2 linked regions of the Drosophila melanogaster genome follow. The protein of the gene in region 1 purifies or fractionates together with the protein of each later gene. This does not show direct contact. Each region holds a gene or a part of one and is shown on either strand. Other genes may lie near its edges.

Region 1 (3,316 bases):
CGTTGTCAATTCGTTCCAGTCGCTTATCCACCTTGTGCATTAGAATGAATGCCTCTGGGAAGTGACCCACATCACAGGGCCAGTTGACAGAGTGCGGATGCGGGTGGCTTAGACTTGGACCTTGGGACGAGTTGTCCTCCTCAGACCAACGAATATTCCTGGCCTGCACCAAAGCCAGAGCCGAAAGAAGTAGAATCACCAGAGTTGAGTTCATTTCAACGATCGCTGTTAAACTGTGCCAGTCAATTCTATAACTAACCCTTTTATAGCCCCAAAAGCAACAACAACTAATAACTGATAATGCAAAAGGGCTTTGTCCTCACAATGTTGCTACTCAGCCACGAGTTTTTCAATTATTGACAGAGGTCAATGTCAAAAATCATTGATTAGCAAATGGCTGTATTAATGTATTAATTAAAAGAGTGTTTGCCGATCAGCAAACTAAATGAATCATTATTTGAGGCAAATAATTTCTATAATACAAGTGTAACAAACTATTGTTGCTAAATTACATTAAATATATATTTAATATATTAGTTAATAGGTTGCCAAATTTTTGAAAATATAAAAATGTGATAAATCACTTCCTGTTATTGTTGATCTTTTCGTTAATCCAATTTACGATCTCCTACCCAGATAGTATAAGTTAAATTATCAGATTTCGAATATAGAACACAACATATACCTGAACACCAGACCCTGTCCGCATGGAACATTCCTCAAAAGTCCAATCTCGACCAGTTAGGCGATATAGGCCCATCAAATCGATAACCGTGGACATGGACAGGGATCCCGAGGCGTCCTTCTTGTTGGACACGATCAGCAGCGGAGCATTATCCAGTTCCTGGTGCATCAAAACATCGCATAAAACACATCGCGCCTCGCTTAGCCGCAGTGCATCCGTGCTATCCAGTACAAAAATCTACGGTTCAGGGATTGTAGTCGAGTCTATATAAGTTCTATATAAGTTCTCCTCTCACCAAAACATTCACTTTCTTATAATACTTTGGCCAGATCTGGCGATTCTTCAGTTCTCCGTTAATATCCCACAACTGGACTCTGAAATTATTTATGGTGAAGCTCCATTCACTAACTTGATTGTTAGATTCCTTGGACTGCAAATAGTTTATGCTAACATTATCAAATGGAGATAGGACCATCACATATATGGCCTTACTTCTCCATTGAAAATTTCCGCCAGGCGGTCTGTCAACGTGGATTTTCCCGCATTGTCTAATCCTAAAATGAGCAGACATGATTTCTGAGAGCCTGCGGGCAGGATCTTTTTTATGAACGAAACAGGTCCGTAAAAACACATGGGGATCGAAATTTGATTTCAGTTTAGATGTCAGGTAAAAATGAATGATTTAACTAGCATAGCCTTCTCAACTATATATTCAGTTTATACTTAAAGATACACGTGAAAAAAGGAAGATTCATCCAACAATTAGAGATTGTGATACTTTTGGTGAGTTGAAATGTAGGTACGTATATTTAGTTCTTAGGGACAACTTAACAGGCGACGATTACTATAATTTAGATTACTTCTTCATATTCTTGCAGACCCAGTCCATTCCCTCCTTTAGTCCAGTGCCATCCACAGCGGTACAGGCCTTGATCTCCCAGGTTCGTCCCTGCAGTTGCACCAAGCTCATCTTCTCGGCCACCTCGGCGGCACTCATGGCATCCGGCATATCCTGTTTGTTAGCGAAAATCAGCACGGGAACTTGCTTCAACCGATTGTCCATGAGCATTTCGAATAGTTCACTACCCGCCTCGGGCAGGCGAGTCCGATCTGTACAGTCAATTACATAGATCTGAAATAATCGAAACTATTAGCTAACAGAATTGAGTTTAGATCTATAACAATCCTACCAGCACATCAGTATTCGCAAAATAGTTCTTCCAATATGGACGTATCTTCCATTGACCACCAATATCCCATACATTCAGTTTGAAACCATCGGCTGCCACGGACTTGATGTTAAATCCTGCCGTGGGCGTTACCTGCGGGATTTCACTCCGTATTTTATGGGGAAAACGGAAGAAGTTCGCCGCCTTTATACGCACCGTGGTTATGTCCTCCGATGCCAGCTGCTTCAGTATCGTGGTCTTGCCAGCATTATCCAATCCTAGGAGCAGGATGCGAGCCTCCTTTTCCGGATTGGGTCTCAGTTTACGCAACAGCGATAGCAGACCCTAAAATTTGTAAGCTATTAAGTTGTTGTTTTTTCTACTTAGTTTTTTGAAGGTGTGTTATTCTAGCACCTGATTACCAGTATTAGTCTAGACTCGGTAGTATCCTCTGGTCTATCTTTGAAATTTTGAATAACAATCTACATTTGGTAGTTTATAAACTTGTAAAATTGTTAATAAATATATGTGTTTTTATAAATGCAACATATGCTTGTAAACACACATGTTTTGTTATTATCAATGTTGTTATCAATAAAGACGATGTAAAGTTGTAAAAAAAAAACTTGCAATTAAAACGTTCTCTTAGTGATAGAATGCAAAAAGCTTATCAACAGGTGAACTTTACAAACATATTGTTGGAATTGAGATAAGGGCTCGCCAAAAGAAACGACAACAAGGTTGAATGAAATAAAAATGTTTATTGGTAAAAAAATTTGCCATGTTCACTTAAAAATTAAGAACTCTTTTTTCCATTGTGTGCTACAAAAAGCTTATTATGTTTCTTTGTTTTCCGAACCACCAATTTGGTTTTTTTTTTCGAATACCGATAATTACGCGCCTAAAACTTTCGAAGTAGTGCTGAAAAAAGTTCTGCTCTAACAAAAAAGTGTTGTATAGTTTTTGAGGCGGGTTTCCATGGCGACGATCGCAAAATGAAAACAAATCGTGCAATTACGGAACAACAAGGCACTTAATTAGCTGTTACGGAACCGGGAGACAACCTACCATCGTATAATTAACGCGAGAATAACAGCCAGGAGGCGGTGCGATCTCCGACCACTATATCCGTATCTGTATCCCCCCGATTCGGCAATCTGCTCTGGCCGCCCAAGACGGTGTCTTCTGGTGGTCAACTCAGGAAAAGTCGGATAACTTGAGAATTGGATCAACTTCAACCACCAAACACAACATCACTGGCTCGTCGCTGCACAACTACTGAAAACAAAATTCGCTCAACGCTCTAACAAATTCCGACAGCAACAACAACAGCGCCAACGGTCGCCGAGCAACCGCTGCAAAGGATTGTTAGACGGGGGACGTGGTGGGGGTGCGGGTCGAGCGGTATTCGAATTGGAACGGGAACGGGAAGAAGATGCCGCTGCTATTTACGGGCTTCAAC
Region 2 (3,757 bases), 3.4 Mb from region 1:
ATTTAGTTAGTTCTTGATTCTAAGACAAGCAGATCTTAGTCATATATCATATCATCATATCATATACTAATTTTAGTGCACTTTGGGCTAAATTAGTTGCACAGGATGTAGGAGTAGTAGTAGGAGCATGCATCTTCGTCTTTTTTAAGACACAAAGTATTTGCTCATAATAATTAAGGTGTTTATTTCAATTTGTTGGATGTTTTAATACTTTAAGCGTATGTATAACTACGCTTTTATCCACAAGTATAGTCACCTTAGCAATAATGCCTTTGTCATGCAAATTTCGAATCAATCGTTCCATCACGTGAGCTGCCTGTTGATTGCTGATTGCTGGCCAAAAATGAAACAAAAAGTGTATGCGACACTTGTGCGGAAATAGTGAGATCCACGTTTTAGCTAACAATGGCCCCCCGCAGAAGCAGAACCAGTTTTTTTTCGAATGTTTTTGTTTATTCTACAAGTTAAAGCTTAGCTTAGCAGATACGATGATACGATGATGATGTGTCAATGGCCGGAATGCCGGAATGCAACGCCCCATGTGAGTGAGAATAGCTTGGATAGGTGAGGAAATACTCGTACACTTAGCCTAAAGTCCTAGGGCGCCTGATGGCGACTAGGACGACTAGTGCTCAGTTCTCGAGGAATAAATCCTCGTAGGCGAAGCGCTTGAAGAGCTGCGAGAGAACGCTCTTCATGATCTCGGCGATGGCCACATGAATGGAGGGATGCAGCTCGTTCCACACCTCCGTCCAGTTGTCGTTGAGGAACTGATTCAGATTGGTGCCCAATGCCTGGTCGCCATTAAAGAGGTTCTCCAGCCGAATGTTCATCCTGTGGGAACACAAATATGTTAGTATATCTCAGCTAAAATCCGAACTGCACCTACTTTTGTGGCTCCACCAGAACCTTGAGCTTATCCACGCTCAGGTAGGTGCGTCCATTGCGCTGCTGTGTGCCCGGCTTGAATTTCACCGAAAACTTGGGATTGTGCAACACGATCTCGGCATCGCCATCGCCACGAATCGGCAGGATCAGGATGCGTCCATCCGCCACGTACTTGCCCTTCAGCACGATCTTGGGAAAGGATCCGTACATCTCAAACTTGCTGGTTGCAGGATCAGCGCCAAAGCCACTGAAAAATACGATTATGATGGATAAGTGCAATCAACTTAATATATCTTCTTCTGTTAATAAACATGAGAACTTCTTCACTTTTGCTTAAGAAGGAAATCACTTTTCATTTCACTTGCTACTTACACGGCTCTGTCGAACTTCACACTGGACAGGCCCTCCACATTCACGTCCCTGAAGTTGAGCTTTAGATTCAGGGAGCCAGTGCGTCCGTCGGAGATGTCGAAGCGCTTGATCAGGAAGGGCTCCACCTGGGGGAATCCAGCGGACGGATAGCCGGTCCTCGCGTGCTGTCTGATCAGCATGTGCGACACGTTGATGATGCAGCTGGTGTCGCCCATGTGGCAGCGCGGCAGTTCGGGAGCTGCAAGGATAAGCTGGCGATTAGCGAAGCACTGGGATTGTTGGCCAAAGGACTCACGGAAATTCGAGGCACCGCTAACCAAGCAGCAGAAGAGGGCCACGCAGCCCAGCTGGAGCAGCATCATTCTGGATATGGATCTAGTTACGTACGAAATTCAAGCGCCCCGAAATTCAACCGCTCGACGATTTGGCGAATGCCCGACCAGGTTCAATGGCAAACTGTAAATCGGCTCTGGACAGACGGCGGCATTTATAAAATTTCTGATCGGCCAGAACGATGGAGCGGCAACAAATGTGGCCAACAACAACCAGTACACTTCATAGTTTATTCATTCCTGACTTGTCGCGTCTTGGCCCTTGTTTTTCTTGTTGTTGCTGCTGCTGCTGTTGTTGTTGTCTGTCTGATTGCTGGCTATTTTTATTTATATTTTTTTTTTATTTATTCGTATGTGTATATCTCTTTCGCTTCGTGTTATGGATTCTCCTCATCATCATAGACATCGCAGTCTTTATCTTTATCGCAGCTACCCCTAACCAGAATTGGCAGCAGCATTATTATTAATTAATATTATTAGCATGCAGCAACAAATAACAATAAACAATAACAATGGCAACGCGCACAAAAGGCAGCGAAACTCAAAATTTTAATGCTCAATCCAGTCAGTTTTCAAGCAATTAACCAATATATTTCCACTTATCCTGCAATGCATTATATATATATATAATTTAATTATACATATATAATTTGCACTATATTTCGGCATCTTGTGTACTTTTTATAGATTCAAACTCCGTGAAATGGAATCCGCGCTTTGTTCACACTTTTAATAAAGTGCAAATATCAATTCGTACTTATTGGCTTATGATATTATTCATCCCATATTTGCTTTGAGATCAGCACTTGGAATTGGGAACCTACCTCTGGGGGAATTCCTAAGTGTGCTAAATGGCCAGGCAATCTGAAAGGGAATGATAATGAATAGGTCATGGTTAAGGATCCACGATAAAAATCACTTAAGTTATGAAATTGTATTCCGACCAGAAGGAAGAATGCATCCCAAGGCTCCCAACTATGAAATTTCCGTTTTGGACATATGTACGAAGATAAATCTTTTTGTGGCCAACACAACTCAATTCCGACATAAACCAATTAGACATAGTCGGGCATTTTGGACGACATCAAACAGGTTCCAACGGCATCGATAATCGATAATGGATGGATCGACGGATAAAAGTTGCTCGGCGAGGTGGCTTCACTTTCAAAACTATTGGACAGGCGACGTTCGGAACGGGCCGAGTGAATTTAATTTGGCAAATTCTAGTTAAAGGCTCCTGGCGTTCGTCATCAGCAATTAGCATATACTACATATATACATATGTATATGTATATTTGGTGTGTGATTGGCATGAAACCGGCATTCTGTTTATTTACCCATCCAATTGGCGCCAGGTGAGTCCAAATATTTCACTTTTGTCCACTTTGATGTGTTTGCGCAGCCAATTCCTAGACGCTGTCGTAGACATCGAGATTACAACGGATTTTCGGGGGCGAAATATGGTAATATATGCAAACACGCTTTTATTTTATTACGTCGGGCTTGCCTGCAAATAATTTGGCATTTCAATTTTGAGTTGGTTGATTCATCTGCGCGTAAACATGATTTCGTTTTTCTTTGTAAACTCAGTAAATACGTTTAGTTTATAACTAGTTTAGCTACGTTGTAACGAAGTGGAAAGCTTATGAATGGCGGTTACTTTTCAATTTTTAATGAATTCACGATGAGTTTGGGAATTTTTGGTGGCATTCTGGTTTGATGTGGTTTAATCGTTCTGAATGGCATTAACTTTTTCTGGTTCTTAAATATTAATTTCAAGTCTGGAAATTTCTAGCAATGCTTGTTTTTCACAACAAACTAAGGTTTAAAAATATTAATATTTGTGTTCGTTAGGGATAAAAATTAATTTGTTAGCGAAATAATGTTTGAAATCATTTAAAGTTTCCAACTATTCCGGACTAAGAGCAAAAATTAACCATAAAAATTTTTACTTAATTTTTGTATTACTTATTTATATAAGATTTGGCTTGGAATGTCCAACAGCACAATCTAATAAATATAAAGAAAGATTATAAAGCATACATATAGTTTACACTTTTTCAATACTTTAATATATTCTATTGTTTATAACGAATTTATTGATTACAAATATTTTCAAATTTGAAATTGAATTGTAACCGCCTTTGACTGGTTCCGAATCGACT

Evidence for each region. The genes of interacting proteins can lie anywhere in the genome.
Region 2: the proteins of CG17819 (region 1) and Jhbp7 purify together in Drosophila melanogaster (affinity purification with mass spectrometry, with the first as the bait; one large-scale study listed by BioGRID). This does not show direct contact.

What each region holds. Positions count from the first base shown.
Region 1 is NT_033777.3:21,884,218-21,887,533, forward strand, and holds CG17819 (uncharacterized protein), read right to left. Parts: upstream 1,334-3,316; 5' UTR 1,319-1,333; coding exon 1,178-1,318; intron 1,116-1,177; coding exon 981-1,115; intron 923-980; coding exon 686-922; intron 629-685; coding exon 581-628; 3' UTR 511-580; downstream 1-510. Other genes in the region: fit (female-specific independent of transformer), read right to left, coding at 1-214; dnd (dead end), read right to left, coding at 1,542-1,817, 1,876-2,007, 2,071-2,199, 2,923-2,925; CG6678 (uncharacterized protein), read left to right, coding at 3,290-3,316.
Region 2 is NT_033777.3:25,235,578-25,239,334, reverse strand, and holds Jhbp7 (juvenile hormone binding protein 7), read right to left. Parts: upstream 1,722-3,757; 5' UTR 1,623-1,721; coding exon 1,556-1,622; intron 1,499-1,555; coding exon 1,261-1,498; intron 1,136-1,260; coding exon 890-1,135; intron 835-889; coding exon 633-834; 3' UTR 440-632; downstream 1-439.